2 linked regions of the Saccharomyces cerevisiae S288C genome follow. The protein of the gene in region 1 interacts with the protein of each later gene in a biochemical or structural test. Each region holds a gene or a part of one and is shown in the gene's direction. Other genes may lie near its edges.

The links.
Region 2: the proteins of LSB3 (region 1) and BSP1 interact in a test that uses a peptide from one of them, tested with the Saccharomyces cerevisiae proteins (one study listed by BioGRID).

What each region holds. Positions count from the first base shown.
Region 1 is NC_001138.5:197,422-205,508, reverse strand, and holds LSB3 (Lsb3p), read left to right. Parts: upstream 1-2,075; coding exon 2,076-2,122; intron 2,123-2,216; coding exon 2,217-3,549; downstream 3,550-8,087. Other genes in the region: HIS2 (histidinol-phosphatase), read left to right, coding at 759-1,766; PES4 (Pes4p), read right to left, coding at 3,800-5,635; ROG3 (Rog3p), read right to left, coding at 6,475-8,087.
Region 2 is NC_001148.4:879,930-890,377, forward strand, and holds BSP1 (Bsp1p), read left to right. Parts: upstream 1-3,898; coding exon 3,899-5,629; downstream 5,630-10,448. Other genes in the region: JIP5 (Jip5p), read left to right, coding at 1-239; YPR170W-B (uncharacterized protein), read left to right, coding at 3,310-3,458, 3,558-3,666; YPR172W (pyridoxal 5'-phosphate synthase), read left to right, coding at 5,867-6,469; AAA family ATPase VPS4, read right to left, coding at 6,595-7,908; CSA1 (Csa1p), read right to left, coding at 8,114-8,779; DPB2 (DNA polymerase epsilon noncatalytic subunit), read left to right, coding at 9,045-10,448. UniProt on the Saccharomyces cerevisiae protein: Recruits the capping protein complex to actin patches and the actomyosin contractile ring, and/or stabilizes their interaction. May serve as an adapter to link INP52 and INP53 to the cortical actin cytoskeleton. Binds F-actin.

The sequences.
Region 1 (8,087 bases):
ATCTATCGATTAGTGTTTCTTCCTACTAATATATCATTATATGGGTATAAGAAGATGGCATAAAAGTTGAGAAACAACCATCGGATTTAATGGAGGCTGAAATGCAAGGATTGGTAATGGAATAGGATAATGAATGACAGCATATAAAATGGAGGAAGAGGTGATAATATTATTACGTAGAATTCTCTTTTTTGGATTCAGGATCAGTGAGGACAGCTTCTAGTATATTCTGCATACCTAAATGCTATTCTTTTTTTTATCAATTTGATTTACTAAATGCTATTTATCCCAAATAATCCATATAAGATTTTAATCTAGATGGAGGGTAAAAGCGCGGAAACATGAGTGTAAACTGATTGTGCAGATATTTACACATTTGAGTAGCTCGTCAAGGGCAATCAAGCTTTCAATCTTGCCGGTTTCATACATGTTGATAAGCTAATGAAACTACTAATGTCTTGCTGTAAAGTAAACCTGTATCATTTCTGTTTGGAAGATTTCAACAAACGTTCGGGCGTGTGGCGTAGTCGGTAGCGCGCTCCCTTAGCATGGGAGAGGTCTCCGGTTCGATTCCGGACTCGTCCATTTAAATTTTTTTATTTTTTTTGTCAAATCTCTCTATCTATAGAGATAATCTCTATCAACTCAAATGATACTGGATATTATATGTACATTTTCCATTTCCCGTACAATCTTTCCCTTTCAAACACATTTTAGTACTTCTTGATACGTACAATTCAGTAAAAATCCTCGAGGTCATGCACTCACACCATTCACACTCCGGTGACTATAGTGCCCACGGTACGGACCCTTTGGATTCCGTGGTCGATCAAGTGGTCAACCTCAACTTTCACACGTACTGTTTGACAGAGCACATACCAAGAATTGAGGCCAAGTTTATATACCCCGAAGAGCAGTCATTGGGCAAGAATCCTGAGGAAGTCATAACCAAGCTAGAAACATCGTTCAAGAATTTCATGAGTCATGCGCAAGAAATCAAGACTCGTTATGCTGATAGACCCGATGTGCGGACTAAATTCATTATAGGAATGGAGATCGAAAGTTGTGACATGGCTCATATCGAATATGCAAAGCGACTCATGAAGGAGAATAATGATATTTTGAAGTTTTGTGTGGGTTCGGTCCATCACGTCAACGGGATCCCTATTGATTTCGACCAACAACAATGGTACAATTCATTGCATTCCTTCAATGATAATTTGAAACATTTTCTCCTGTCTTACTTCCAATCACAGTACGAAATGCTGATCAATATTAAACCGTTGGTCGTGGGTCACTTCGACCTTTACAAATTATTTTTGCCCAATGACATGCTAGTAAACCAGAAATCGGGCAACTGCAACGAAGAAACCGGAGTTCCTGTAGCTTCACTGGACGTCATCAGTGAATGGCCAGAAATATACGATGCAGTTGTAAGAAATTTACAATTTATAGACTCCTATGGCGGCGCAATTGAAATCAATACGTCCGCATTAAGAAAGCGCCTCGAGGAGCCGTACCCCAGCAAAACCTTATGTAATCTGGTCAAGAAGCACTGTGGATCCAGATTTGTTCTAAGTGATGACGCACACGGCGTGGCGCAAGTGGGTGTGTGCTATGACAAGGTAAAGAAATACATAGTAGACGTGCTACAATTAGAGTATATTTGCTACCTTGAGGAAAGCCAATCACCAGAGAATCTGTTAACTGTAAAGAGATTACCCATTTCGCAATTCGTTAATGATCCCTTTTGGGCCAATATATAATCTGATTATCTTGAACTGGATGTACATAAAAAAAAACTGTCATATAAACTCATGTACAGCTGTGTAGAAGTGAATGATCTTTCCAAGAAAAAAATTTCACACTGAATTGATTGAATTGACTGCTCATTTTATATTGGGTGCCCAAATTGTCTTTCTTTATTGTTCGTTTAGTAGCAGCACCCTGTTTGCTCGCCGACTCGGCCGCATCTGGAAGTTCAACATGAAAGAGTATAAACTATCGAAGAAATCTAGAACGGCTTTGGATCACGGGTGGCAAAGAAATCAAAAACAAAAGCTGTATCACACGCAATGGGTATTAACAATCCTATTCCAAGGAGTTTAAAGAGTGAGACAAAGTATGTTTTATACGGGTTTGGCTGGGAAACCTTTAAAAAAGTTCTCCCTTAATTTGTTCATCATTTACTAACTAGTAATAAACAATTAATAAAGAAAAGCAGCGAAGATTTTGGCTAGTTTTGTCAAACCAAACCAAGTTTTTGGTGCGGACCAAGTCATTCCTCCAGACGTTTTGAAAAGAGCTAAAGGGTTGGCTATCATAACGATCTTAAAAGCAGGTTTTCTATTTTCAGGTAGAGCTGGTTCTGGTGTGATTGTCGCAAGATTAAAGGATGGTACTTGGTCAGCTCCATCTGCCATTGCCATGGCAGGTGCTGGTGCCGGTGGGATGGTTGGTATAGAATTGACTGATTTTGTTTTCATTTTAAATACTCAGGATGCTGTTAAGTCGTTTTCTGAATTTGGGACCATCACGTTGGGTGGTAACGTCTCCGTTTCTGCTGGGCCTCTTGGTAGAAGTGCAGAAGCAGCTGCATCAGCCTCCGCCGGTGGTGTGGCTGCAGTTTTTGCCTATTCTAAGAGTAAAGGTCTATTTGCAGGGGTTTCTGTGGAAGGTTCGGCTATTATAGAAAGAAGAGAGGCTAACAGAAAATTTTATGGTGACAATTGTACCGCGAAAATGATTTTGTCTGGTAGGATAAGACCGCCTCCAGCAGTTGATCCATTGTTTCGTGTTTTAGAGTCCAGGGCGTTTAATTACAGACCCTCCAACGGTGGTCGTGGCAGTTTCGATGACGACGAAGACGATTACTATGACGACGACGATTACTATAATGACATTCCTAGTTCATTCAGTTCTACAGATGCTTCCTCCACTAGACCTAACACAAGATCCACAAGGAGAAGAGCCCAAAGCGGTTCTCGTTATACGTTCGACGATGATGATGACGATGATGATTATGGTACTGGCTATTCAAGGAATTCAAGACTGGCTCCTACCAACAGTGGCGGTAGTGGTGGTAAATTGGATGACCCATCTGGAGCTTCAAGTTATTATGCCAGCCACAGAAGATCAGGAACTGCTCAGTCAAGGGCTCGTTCTTCAAGAAATCGTTGGGCTGATGATGAATACGATGATTATGATGATGATTATGAATCCGGGTATAGACGCGGGAATGGAAGAGATAGGACAAAAGACCGTGAAGTCGATGACTTGTCGAACAGATTTTCTAAATCTAGAATCTCGTCCGCTTCAACACCGCAAACTAGTCAGGGCAGATTCACTGCTCCAACATCCCCATCCACGTCTTCTCCAAAGGCCGTGGCATTATATAGCTTTGCAGGAGAAGAGTCCGGAGATTTACCATTCAGAAAGGGTGACGTGATCACAATTTTGAAAAAATCAGATTCTCAAAATGACTGGTGGACCGGAAGAGTCAACGGTAGAGAAGGTATATTCCCAGCAAATTACGTTGAACTAGTTTAAAAAATTTGAAGGAGAGTAAAGAATACGAGAAACGTTATTGATTTACACTTATACCTTTTGCCTTACAGTTTATCAGCACTCGGACCTAAATACATATCATATAGCAGACGGCGTCCCTCTGTCTATCCTTTTAAGAATTTTTTCCATAATAATAATTTTTAATAATATCTAAATATAACGAAAAAGATTGAATTAGTGTAAATAAAAAAAATAAATAAGGAAAACTCTAGCTAAATTAACAAAGAGACATTCATCTTTTAAATCCTAACGAGCTTGCAGCCTCTTCAATTTGTTTTTGCAATACACCTTCATGATATGGACTACTATTTAGCAACGATAAAAATTTGTCCAATATTAACACATCGCGATTCCAATAAGTGTCGAATATATACTCAGCTATTCCGTGCACATTTTCGTCTCTAGTGGCACTTGGAAATCTCATGAAATCTATACCTCTTCTTACTTGCTTTTCGAATGTTTCCAAAACTTTCTTATTGAAATTTTTATTCTTTATTAGTGATCTTGTGCTGCTATTCATTGACGAAAGATCTCTCATGTGTGGGGAGTTCAAACTATTCGCATGTGAGTACTGGTAATATGGGGTAATTTGTGGATGAGAAGAGGTGTGTATATTGCGCATTCCATAACCATCATGATATTTAGGTGCATTATTTTGTCTTTCCCAAGATGTCGTGACGATGCTTCCTCCTACTAAACGGTTATTCAAAAAGTTAAATATTCTCGTAGCATCTTCAAAATTCCTGAATTTGATGAACCCAGAATATGTAGAAGAATTTTCGTCATATCCATCTATCTGAATCTTGAACGGTCTAATATTTTCTTGGTGACATAAATATTTAAGAAATTCCTTATTGCAGACAGCGCTTAAATTTTCCAGGAAAAGTGTAGATATTTTTTGAGATTCTATAAATTTGGCTCTTTCTTCTTTATCCTGTGCCCTGGTTACTAAAAGCTTTTTACCTCTGAAATAAAAATTATTGTAGCGTTTAATTGCCTTTTCTGAGTCACTGCTATTTTTATATGTAACAAATGCCCAAAGATATTTAACTTTAGTGGCATTGGATAGATAAATTGACTTAATTGGACCCACTTCACTGAAGAAATTTAAAATATCATCCCTTGTAGTTATTGTTGGAAGGTTTTTGATGAATATAGAATTTTGGGATGAAGAGTAAATATTTTTAGATTCCTTATCATTCCCCTTGGAGTGTTTCTCATTCAAAGATTGCTCTTTTTCAATAATTGTTTCCGCATCTAATCGTGATTTTTGTGTTTCAAAATTTGGAACACTTCTGACCTCTTTATCAAAATGTATTCCACATAGAATTTTCTTACCAAAAAAACTGGTATTATTGTACATTTTGATCACATTTCTCGCAGTTTTTTCGTCCTCAAAGTAAACAAATCCTATATCTTTCCTAGAGTCTAATTTGCATGATAGAATTTTACCATATCTAGAAAACGTATCATAGAATACTCTTGTTGTTAATAATGGATTATTTAGAGGTAGATTAGAGAAAAAGACATTAGTGCCGAAATTCTTTCTAAACGTTGTATTCCTCAATGATGGCATAATCCTAATTTCTTTACCATTAACCTTCGTGTAATTTAATTCTTCCATAGCCTTTTCAGCTTCTTCTTTGTCTTCAAAATTTAAGTAACCATGGCCCAGTGATTTTTTTGTCACTGAATCAAGACAAACTTTAGCAGAGACAAAAGAGGGATATTTTTTGAAGATCCCTTTTAAAGTTTCTTCAGTAACTGTTTCATGGAGGTCACCAATGAATAGCGGAACTAGTTTTTTACTTTCAAAACTTTTCAATTTTCCATTCTTGTGACCGGATTTGTTGTTGTTAATTCTCAAAAATTCAGGTGAATCAGAATGGCTCGAACTTGACGATCTGGATGTTTTTTCGTGGTAGTCGTCTGGCCTAATAGGAGTAACTACGGGGTTAAATGATATTTTCTTTTCTTGATCTTTTTTTACTTTCAAATCCTGGTTTTTCAAAATATTCAGGGGAACCATACTGAGTATAGAAGGTTTTTTGTTTGAAATAGAATACATGTTTCCTCTTGTAGGTTGAAATTTTTTTTGTGATACTGATTCTCTCGTTATTATTGGTTCGTTCAATTAATGAATAATTAGTTTGATTATTTTCCTCTTTATTTGACCTTAGGAACAGTTTTTAAGGTATACTCTGAACTGCAAATTTTTGTCATAACTCTTGGTAATCAAGGCTAGAAGTGTACTATTTTTGCTTTCTGCACAAGGCTTTTTCTTCGGTACGACACAAAAACAACTATTGTGTCGCAGTCCATAGAAGGAGCAAGAAAAAAGAATGTCTTTAAAGGCGAATGTGATTCTATGCTTTCTAGTACCTACTGTGCCGAATAATGTGTAAGTCTCAAAATTCTTTTCTTCCAAAGCATATCCATAATATTTACCTTACGCTGGGTATTTTTTTTTTGGTCACTCCAGATCTAGTTTTTTAAAACTTGATCCCAACGTAACTAAATATAAACAAGACAAAGCTCGAAATAATATAATGTAATTTAGCGAATGTAGTGTTTATATCACCACATTTGGAGAATGTACAATGAATAGTTTCTCTGTCTCTAATGGAATAAGAATTTAATTTCAAGATTTAATTACTTTATGGTGGACCATTTATCTTATGATATCTAGCAAATCAAAGGATCCCTCAAACTGAAAACCAATAGCAGGATCGACCTGACTCTTTTCAACAATGCAGTGGATTTTTTTGAACTTATACTGCCGCACGCCAAACATTGCATTTATCCCTTTTTCTTTAAAATGCCAGTTAGAGTGCGTAAATGCTATATACATCACTTTCTATATGAAACTATACAAGCTTAATGCACGAGCCGAAACAATATCGGCGACTATCGTTTGTTACCCTTTGATAGAAAACCTCCCATAAACCCAGCTAAAGAAGTAGCCCTCCGTCTTGTTGGTGACCTTTTCATACTATTACTGGATGGGTTATTCGAAGTTTTCGAAGTTAACTCATTAAGTGTATTAAGAGATACCCCACTAGAACTACTTCTAGAGCCATTAATTATGGAAATAGGGGAAGCAGTGCTACTCATAAAACTAGAGGAATGAAAGCTAGTTGGTATAGAAGATGACAATGTTGTCGAAGAGTTCCTGGAATGTACCCTACTGGGTTTTCTTGGTTGCACATTTTGTATCGCACAAGGGTAGGAAGGAGGAAGGTCCTCACCAATGATATCATATTTCATTGCCTTGCCATACGATGGAACCTTGTTCAGGTTTTGAGTCTCTGGATAATTTAAGCCCGAGGGCACTGGTAACACTTCATGGGCTGACACGCTTGGGGCTGGGGATCTTGAAAGTAAAACAGGTGATACGTTACTATGTACTCCTGGCACAGAGCCACTATTGGGACCAAGAGCACTCTGAGGTAAGATTCTCTCCGTGCCATCCTCTGGTGCTGGAACGTTTAGTAATGGAGATAGCGATCTGGAAGCGGCAGCAGACGAGGCAGACGGTGGTAGCCCTAGATTGTCACGTTGATTTCTAATTTTTGTCAACCGTATACGTAAATCTTCTAAATCCTGTTGCTGATCCTCGACAGTCGAACATTCGCTTCCCAAAGGAGTACATGTTCCAGACGTTTCCACAGCCGTGCGAGTGAAAGAACCGCTATAAAGACGATCATATACGTGCATTTCATAATTTGGGGGCGTCATCAAGTCTGAAATGGTAGGAACAGAGCCACCGCTACGCATATCCGCTAATAATTCCAACCCTGTGACTGATGCTGATCTAGAAAACAGATATTCCTCTTCCTCTTCTTGTGATGAGTTTTCGTCTTTCTGGTTAGTGGTGCTAAAAAGCGAATACAAATTCGAGGATGACAATGGTTTTATTGAAAGTGCCACAAATGGTGAAATAAAAAGTTGAATCGGTAAGGACGCTCTTAACTCAGATTTATGACCATCTGGGTTAATTAGGATGATGAAAAATTTGAGCTTATGGCGAACCTTAATGTTAGAGCGGACATCACAATCTTGCACACAGTTTGATAAGCTGTTCGGGATTTGCAGGATGGTATCAATCTCCCACTTGTCTTGGAATGAATGATCAGGCTGAAAAAAGGGGTTATTTACAAAGCAACCATTACCATTAAATTCTCCAGATGACTCGTTCAAGGGATCTTCAAGATTTAGTTCTGTCACTTGCCTATTTTCAGAAATTACTGGAGGGAAGGGGTCACAATATTGATAATTCTCAAATAATACGACTTTGATTGAGCCCAATTTCAAACCTTTCGAAAGAGGTACAATGGAAATATTTATAGGGGTGGCTGAACCAATAGCTACGGCTTTGTTGGGTACTGAAATAGAATAATCCACTTTGTCGGGCCATGAGTTATCTACACAAACAGTTTCTGATAACTCCACTGCTGCGGGTGAAATGGTTCTCAGAACTCTAATATTTTTCCTACAGATCAAATCACTATAATTTTTGC
Region 2 (10,448 bases), on another chromosome or scaffold:
AACCCCTCTCCCACTCTGATGAGGATCTAAGTGATGACACTAGTTCTGATGATGAAACGACGCTTGTCGGGCTCTCAAAGGAAGAGCTATTAGACGAATTAGATAAGGACCTCAAGGAAGATCATCAAGAGGAAAAAGAATCCAACTCAAAATCTGTCAAAAAAAGAAAAATAATGAAGGAGAACAACAAAAAAAAGGACCTGTATGAGCATGGGATCAAGAAGTTTGATGATTTATAGATTATTTCTTTTTTACTAAGAAAAACATATATCATTTATATTCAGAAATAAATAGGATTATTAACCTAGTGCTCCCAAAAAAAATAAGTTGAACTGTCTCTTTCGAGAAAAAGAAAGAGAAAAGAAATGGTCTCTAGCGGGATCGAACCGCTGATCCCCGCGTTATTAGCACGGTGCCTTAACCAACTGGGCCAAGAGACCATTATATTGTTAAAGATGTTGTATCTCAAAATGGGATACGTCAGTATGACAATACTTCATCCTAAACGTTCATAAAACACATATGAAACAACTTTATAACAAAACGAACAACATGAGGTAAAACCCGGCCTCCCCTAGCTGAACAACTCAAACGTATAAATGCCTGAACAATTAGTTTAGATCCGAGTTTCCGCGCTTCCACCATTTAGTATGATTCATATTTTATATAATATATAGGATAAGTAACATCCCGTGAATCAAGCTGATAAACAGTTTTGACAACTGGTTACTTCCCTAAGACTGTTTATATTAGGATTGTCAAGACACTCCGGTATTACTCGAGCCCGTAATACAACAGTGAGCTATTAAAAGAGCTTAAGTATTACAGAGTAATATCAATCATCAATCTTGGATCTAAAGTAATCGTCGAGACATTTATACACTTAAGTGATTCCTCTTTACAAGCGGAGCTTACTCTATATATTCATTCTTGTCAGTTTCATAACAGTTGTTTCATACGATTTCCACATGTGTCTCATATATATTTTATGTTTAGGTTAATAACTTTGGTAATGCTAAATTATCTTAATTTGACGTACACAAATTCTTCCTACTGTTATATATGTTCGAATTATCTTTTAAATTGTTGCTAAAAAAGTTAGAGTTATCACCAAATCAGTTGAGCAGATCACCATTATTCTTATGTAAATACTTGTTAAAAGAAGTAGCTTTCGCAAATACACCAATGCATTCGTTGATAATTTACGCAGTAACCTCTTACAGAACGCCTACATACAACTTAAACTCGTAATGTTCAGGCTTATAATGTCAGTATGCATTGTTACGCTTAGTATAGTTATTAAACTACGGACCAAATTATACTTTAAGCAGTAGTTAAAGAAAGAGATTAAATAAAGAATGATTTACAATCTAGTCGCAAAAACAAGTACAGTGCTGACGTCCCATCTTTTAATGCCTACTCTTTTGATGTTCACTTACATGTTACAATGAAGCCAAATCACAAACATTCAAATATATTCCATGGCCTCTTAGTTTGGCAACCCAAGACTCGGCATACCATATTGGTAACGCTGTATTGGAGAGATATATTCTAAAATATTGATAATTAATGGCAAAAAGGCAGTATTAATGAAGGTTGAATATGGATCTTAATATAATCGTATAAGAGGGGCATAAAATATACGCCGATTGGTTCAACATTAATTATGATCAATATAACAATGCGTCTGGTAATTACCATAACACTTAATGTAGCAACTCGTATAACAAACGTATCATGCTCAATTAATATAACCTTATCTCTGCTTCAGCACTGTCTGAGCTACTCTTTTAACGTTTCCTTTTGCAATAGGTACCTTCACACTAAAACATATACAATGGGTGCATTTAAATTGTTACCATAGCAACTCATATTACGATTCATTACCACTCATTTCAACACAACAACCTCTTGCTATCAAACTTACTTTTGCTTTTATTGCAGATATCTCGTTATTTCTGCAAAAACAGCATTCATTGGTAATGACAAGGTCAATTTTGGCTTTTATACATTTCACATGTACAGGATAGTGGAACACATTCCAAGGAGGTGAAGAACGTCCCCTTTGATACTTCCATACAAGGACGATTAAAAATACATAAGAGAACAGATCTGCAAAAATGCGTTTTACTTCCTTTACAATCTCAATGCCGATAAATAAGCGCAATGAAGATTACTCAGCAACTGTATGTTGGCTCATGCGAAATATGAATGTTTCATTCGAGATTACTTATCTTGTTTAACGCTTGAACAGCGTACTGTAACTTCTTGCTACAGAATGATGGACCCCATTATAATACTACCGCCTTGCGAATGCGCAATTTATTATGATCATGAACCCTGAGAAATCAAATGAATATTTAAAGTGTATGCAAAATGGACAAGAACATTATGGTAACATTGTCTACGACAGAATTTATTTTCTGACTTTAATAGTGACGGTTATACGAAATTAATGATTCTTCGAGAGGCAACTCACTTTACTGCAAATGGACCTGCAGAGTTTGCATCTAGAGGACAATATGCTGCACAAAAACGACCAATATTTACCTTCAACGAAAACAACCTTAAGAAACCCCTTCAACAACAACGCAGCTATCGTATCGTAGTGGTCTCCATAATGCGTGCACCTCCTTTAGCACTTATCGAGTAATAACATACGCTAGATAAGTAAAGTGTCCAGGATATTATAATTATATGATATTTCGGGAATGGTTTCTATATCTAGTTTTTTAACTTAGCCTAGACATTCGCCTCGTATTATAAAATACATGAAAGTGACTTGACTGCTTCATGAGAGTTATACTAAGAGCATTCATAACTAGAAGACACATTTTAGTTTTTATTACTGAGTAAGGGTTTAGTTTGTACATACAAGGCAACATGAAATTCAAGGTGCTGATGTTCAGTAAAGCCGCCTAGCTTTACGTGCCGAAATATTGATAATATGTCTCAGCCACTTCCTGGCTTAACTATTTAAATGATATTTCTGCATCCATCGGTATGGCGCACAATAAACGGTATCTGAGAATATCGAAAAGAACACCACAATACTACTGAGTGCAAACACAGAAGAGCGTAGGTGATTCAACTAATTGAGTTAGAAACTGCATCAACGCTGCATAATAAAGATGCTGCTGTTCAGGATCATTTTTTTTAAAGACTGAAAAAAATTGCTTATCGCTTTGCACGCGACTCTTTTTTCTATTATTTGAAAAATAGCTTAAGGGAAAAGAAAAGAATAGGTAGCTTTCAAAGCAAGAACCTCTACGATAAAGGACAAAGCTAGAAGCAAACACCGCAAAAAAAATGAGACCCGTTGTATCCACTGGTAAGGCATGGTGTTGTACCGTCCTATCGGCATTTGGTGTAGTAATTCTTTCCGTCATTGCTCATCTCTTCAACACAAACCATGAATCCTTTGTAGGATCAATAAACGATCCTGAAGATGGACCTGCGTATGTTATATTTTCTTATTTATTTCGCCGTTACCCATTTACCATCTCTTATATCTCTCCTCCTTACTAACAATTATATTTTAACCCTATTGTTTATAGTGTTGCACATACTGTTTATTTGGCTGCCTTGGTATACCTCGTGTTTTTCGTATTCTGTGGGTTCCAAGTTTACCTAGCCAGAAGAAAACCTTCGATCGAGTTGCGTTAGTCTTGAAGCCAATAGGATAATACCAAATGCATTAATATCGTCCAACTGTTCTATATACTTATCGTAACCTCGTTCCATGTGACATTCTTTTTTATTACACTTTTCGACAATAGCGAATTGAGTGAAATATTATGAAAGAATATATAGTATAAATATATACATTTATATATGAATTCTAATCAATAAAAGTCACAGTAACCAGCTTTTCCTAGCTTTTCGAAGTTTCGGAAGTATGACAAAATATGAGCGTGACCCTGAATTGGTGAACTTTCTATCGAAAGTGGAGGATTTGAACTCTAAGAGATACAGTAATATTCCTAGTTCAAAACCAGCGGGGGAAGCGCTTTCACCAGTTAGAAGTCACAACTCTGGGGAATACAGAAGGGCTGATATGATGACAGGGAAAAATGTGGAAGGTTGCGACAATTTGGCCTACCGATCTGCGTACAATTATGAAATGACGTTTTCTCCAAAGAAGACTCATTACTCATTAAGTGAGCTGAATCTCGAACGAATAACGCCAAGGCCGGATTTGGAGGGAAGTGCCTCTCAAAAAGAAAAAAAATTTTTAATTTCTGAAGAAGATTATTTATTATTGCAGAAATTGAAAGCCTCTCAAACATATAATGATTCCAATGCTGACAAAAATTTGCCTTCCTTTGAAAAAGGTCCTCGTATGCCCAGTCGGGGTCGACCCAGACCGAGAGAGAAGGAAATAATCACCATCCAATATGATTTTGAATTACCAGGAAGAGCCGATATACCCTCCTCCTCCTCTTCTTCATCACCACCGCCTTTGCCCACAAGGCGTGATCATATCAAAATCACAGATGGGAATGAAGAGAAACCGCTTCTTCCAACAAGGCCTAACAAAGCAGAAGTTACAGAAAGTCCGTCATCAAGGTCAATAAAACCGGATGCTGTGGTACCTGAGCGCGTTAAGCCTGCTCCACCTGTCTCACGCTCTACAAAACCGGCGAGCTTTTTAAGTTCTTTGGAAGATAACAAATTGACAAAGGCGAAGAGTTATAATTCGGAAATGGAAACTCCCAAAACAACTGTAAAAAGTTCTCATATCGATTACTTGGATTCCATACAACTAAAACCAACCACCTTATCTCCTACAATGAAAAATAAACCTAAACCAACCCCTCCTTCTCCACCTGCGAAAAGAATTCCAAGATCTGAAAGTTTTATCAAGTCTATGCTAAACTCGAATCTCACGACAACTTCCAAGCCTTCTTTGCCTGAAAAACCTCAAAAGCTACGGAATGCAAATTTGGCCGCCCATAAGACCAAACCAAGCATACCGCCAAAGAAAGTGGAGTTGAATATAGTATTACCTGAGCTACGTCCCGTAGAAACTTCTCCAACAAAGCAGAACTTCGAAAACTCAATCGATTTGCCCAAGTTACGATCCAGCAACCGTAACATTAAAAAAGAAGAGGAGGACAGTATTCCAGAAGCAATAAAAGGTATACAAAATCTGAAGAAAACCAAACAGCAGAAGCCTGCAATCCCTCAGAAAAAATCATTTCTAACAAATAATTCGAAAAATACTACACTCAAAAATGGTGATGATATTAACAAGTTAAATGACGAAATTGAAGCTCTATCATTGCGGAATAACCTGAAGAAACGGCCACCAACGGCGCCACAACGTAAAATTTCTTTGCCAGAGGCATTGCGAAAAGTCGAATTGATGAAAAAATCTAAAACCGAGCCTGTTTTAGAGTCCTCAAACGAACTGAGCATAAACGCAAAATTAGACGCAATAATTGCCTCTAGAAACTTAAGAGCATCTAATACTCTACCAGAACTTAGCGGTGTTAACACTAATATTGCAACTTCTGACAAGTATACTACTTCTAGAGATGAAACAGTGAAGGAAACTAAACCATTAGTTCACCCGAATAAAAATAGGACTCGTGGTCCCAGAAGAAAACTTCCAACACGCGTGTAACTACAGAGTAGACCTCCGTATTTTACACATGTATGTACGTACATATGATGTAACAATAATATGATAATTTAATGGGATACATGTATTATCGTCACTTCCCACGTTTGCGCTTTGACATTTGCTCCCCTTATGAACCTGAAGGAATATAAATCATCGATCTTTTTGCTACACTTTTCCTCCCTTATTAGAAAATAGCAGTAAAATTACAGGCTATTCAAACCCTGAAACATCTCAATTATGGCTTGGACTAGTACATTACCAGCGCATCTACTGAACCTGATCAAAAACTCCAAATATGTTCACGTGGCCACCTGTTCTAAAGACTGCATCCCTTCAGTGGCATTGATGAACTATATCTATGTGCCAGGTGAAAAACTGTTCGGTCAAACAGATAATAAGAATGACTACATTATATTTGTTTCTCCTCAGGACACACAAAAGTTTTACAACATCAAGGAGAACCCTAAGGTCGCCCTGTTGTTTCACGATTGGATCATCGCGAATAATTTGTCAGTGGGCAAGGAAAGCATCTCTGGGACTCCGACGCCGACTTCTATTCCTCATGAAGAGCAACGTCAAAGCGAGCTTTTAAATTTGTTACAGGAGTTAAATCAAGCCGAATTGAACCAAATGAGCGCATCTATTGGTGGCGAAACCGAAATTGTCAATCCTGAAAGTGAAGAATCCAAGTACTATAAAGATTTAATACTAAAGGCTAATCCTGATGCGAAAGCTTTTATATTTGAAAAGAACACCGCCGTTGTTAAAGTTAGAATTGATAATGCTAGGGTATCCAATAATGAGAACAGAACAATGTTTCTAAGTAAAGGGAAGAGTTAACTGTCCTCTGCTTTTCTTTATCTATTTTGCATACGATTCTGTATTTAATTATTCTGTTTTTTTTTTTTTTTTATTTTTTATTTTCATGTACACAAGAAATCTACATTAGCACGTTAATCAATTGACTAGTTACCTTCTTGACCAAAATCTCTAGTGAACTGTTCTTGCTTCAGCAAGTCATCCTCATTCACGGTAGGTCTCGTCGATTTGATAGCCTTTAAGAAATCCTTTATGGTGAGATCTGGTTCTTTTAATTCATCAGCTTCAATATCCGTCCAACTCATCTCGATGGCGCCATCATCACCTGGAGAGCATGGTGTTAGTTTTCTTGTTTCGTCGTCCTCCGTAGAGACATCTTTGAAATGTGTCGCGCTTTGAATTTTTCTTATCGGTTGCATTAGCGCATCTTTCACCACTACAGCAATATCACTCCCGGAATAACCTTCAGTCATTGCACCTAAAGTTCTATAATCTTCCTTGGTCAATACGCATGGAGTGTCGCCGACGTTAATCTCGAACATGGTGGTTCTTGCCGCCAAATCTGGTAATGGTATATATATTCTTCTTTCAAATCTTCTCCTGATGGCACTGTCCAGTTGCCATGGGATATTTGTTGCGCCAAGGACCAAAACACCTTGGGAGTCATTCCCAACACCATTCATTTGTACCAATAATTCTGTTTTAATTCTTCTACTTGCTTCGCTCTCTCCTTCTCCTCTGGTACCTGTTAGCGCATCCACTTCATCTATAAAAATAATAGAAGGTTTATTTTCTCTTGCCATCGCAAATAACTGTTTGACAAGTTTTTCAGATTCACCCATCCACTTAGAAACCAAATCACTGGAACTAACACTGAAAAAGGTAGAATTGGCCTCGGTGGCCACTGCTTTTGCCAAATATGATTTACCTGTACCTGGTGGTCCGTACAATAAGATTCCCGAAGTGGGCTTACGGTTACCTTTGAACAAATGTGGGAACTTGACAGGTAAAATAACGGCTTCTTTAAGGGCCTCTTTGGCTCCTTCCAGTCCAGCCACGTCTTCCCACTTAACATTGGGCTTCTCAGACAAAATAGCACTCGATAAGGCACCTCTTAGCTTTTTGTTGTCTTCTCCACCATTATCCTCACCCTCTTCCTGAGAGATTTTCTTATTACCACCGTTGGAACCACTACCAGCGCTAGGAGATTTCTTTGCCGCGTTTGCCTCTTCACTTTCCAAGTGCTTTTTCAACTGCTCTGCACGGTTTAGATACTCTGTAAACTTCGCTCTTATCAAATCCTTCGACTTAGGGTTTTTCTCGTATTTCAAAGCCAACATCAAATAATCTAATCCGTTATAGTATGCTGTATACGCCTCCTCATACTGCGTGGCTGTGTCCAGGTCAATGGCCTTTTGAACCAGTTCTATTCCCTTAGTTAAAAAATCTCCCGTGCTCATTTGTACCCCATCTACTATAGGCACTCTATGCTGCTTTATTTTTGTCTTCCATGTCCTCAACCCACGATTAAATCGTTCGATATCATGAAGTTCTTATTTTTTTTTTTTTTTCACCCAGCGGGGGTACCCGTAAAGCAATACAATAAATATCATCAAGCAAGAATAAATAGATGTACAGAAAGAACAACCATGACGTGTTGTGTTTCTATTCAGCGTGCGGAACCGAATCCTCAGTCGGAGATTCTCTGAGAATGTTCGTTTGAGGAAGCTTAGGATACTTGGCGTAGAAGTTGGGGCCCTTTGGGGGCTGTAGGGAAGAAACTGGTCGTTGGCGCGACTGGAGTGGCGACATGTGAATCGGACTTGAAGTCACTAACGGGTTTACTGCTCTTACTGGCGAAGGTGGTAAATTTTCTGTCGGTTTGAGGTTGTCTCGCTCAATATTTTTCATGTCTCGACGAGACTCCAGGTATCTTTGATCGATGTTTGCGTCGTCCAACACCGACTGCAACAGATGACACTTTTCCTTGACAAATTGTAGTTCCTTTTGTGTAGAGTGCAGCTGCTGCCGCAATTGCGCAAACTTTGCTTGCCATTGTAGAGGCACACAATCCTGAGAATTTTTAGACAATGGGACAACGCTTTCTTCTTCCTCATCTGCGGGAGACCCCCATACAAACGCTTGGATCTTGGCAAGAGTCTTAGCAATATTGAATCCAAACGCGTGTTGTTGAGCCCTCTTTTTGGAGATATTCTTGTAGTTTTTAGAACGTGTCCTTTGTGAAGCGTGTCTAACATGATTTCTTTCGCGAGGCACAACCACCAATTTGCGCTCTTTTCGTATCCCCAATGTCTTTTCCTGAATTCCCATTGTGATCTTCAATGCCAACCCAACCTTCTTTTTACTTTGTTGGGTCTAAATTATGTTACTTTGTCCATTTCATCTCTTTTCAAGATGGAATCTAAAAGAAGAAAAACGACAAAAGGAACAAAAGTGATGTGACGCGTTATTTTTCGCGTGACATAATAGAAAAATATTTCAACTGGGCATCTTTAACACATGTTACAATAAAGTTGAGATGACTTGTTTATGCCTTTAAAGTTTGTAAGTGGAACTAGAAGCGTCTATGTGTGAAATGTTTGGCTCTGGGAATGTTCTGCCTGTTAAAATTCAGCCTCCGCTGCTTAGGCCACTGGCGTATAGAGTTTTATCAAGAAAATATGGTTTATCAATTAAATCTGATGGACTGTCTGCTCTTGCAGAATTCGTTGGCACTAATATAGGTGCTAACTGGAGACAAGGGCCTGCTACAATAAAATTTCTCGAGCAATTTGCTGCAGTATGGAAACAACAAGAAAGAGGCCTTTTCATCGACCAGAGCGGGGTTAAAGAAGTTATACAGGAGATGAAAGAACGTGAGAAAGTCGAATGGAGTCATGAACACCCTATTCAACATGAGGAGAATATCTTGGGACGGACAGATGACGATGAGAACAACAGTGACGATGAAATGCCGATCGCTGCTGATTCATCCTTACAAAATGTTTCATTATCTTCACCCATGCGACAGCCCACCGAAAGAGATGAATATAAACAGCCTTTCAAGCCAGAAAGCTCCAAGGCGTTGGACTGGAGGGACTACTTCAAAGTTATCAATGCTTCTCAGCAACAAAGATTCTCATACAATCCGCACAAAATGCAATTTATTTTCGTCCCCAATAAAAAGCAGAATGGGCTAGGAGGCATTGCGGGTTTTCTACCAGATATAGAGGACAAAGTTCAAATGTTCTTGACAAGATATTACCTCACGAACGACAGAGTCATGAGAAATGAAAACTTCCAAAACAGTGACATGTTTAATCCATTATCATCTATGGTGTCTTTACAAAATGAACTGTCCAATACTAACCGACAGCAGCAATCCAGCAGTATGAGTATCACCCCAATAAAAAACCTACTAGGTAGGGATGCTCAAAACTTTCTACTATTGGGGCTCTTAAATAAGAACTTTAAGGGCAATTGGTCACTGGAAGATCCGTCTGGATCTGTCGAAATTGACATTTCCCAAACTATCCCTACACAAGGCCATTACTACGTGCCAGGTTGCATGGTTCTTGTGGAAGGAATATACTATTCTGTAGGAAATAAATTCCATGTTACCTCCATGACTTTACCCCCTGGTGAGAGAAGAGAAATTACATTAGAAACGATAGGTAATCTCGATCTCTTAGGAATACATGGCATTTCTAATAACAATTTCATTGCTCGTTTGGATAAAGATTTGAAGATTAGATTACACCTTTTGGAGAAAGAATTAACAGATCATAAATTTGTAATTCTCGGCGCAAATTTGTTCCTAGATGATTTGAAAATTATGACTGCACTCAGCAAAATTTTGCAAAAATTAAATGATGACCCACCGACCCTATTAATTTGGCAAGGTTCTTTCACTTCAGTTCCCGTTTTCGCATCAATGAGTAGCCGGAATATAAGTAGTTCCACTCAATTTAAGAATAATTTCGATGCCTTGGCGACGCTT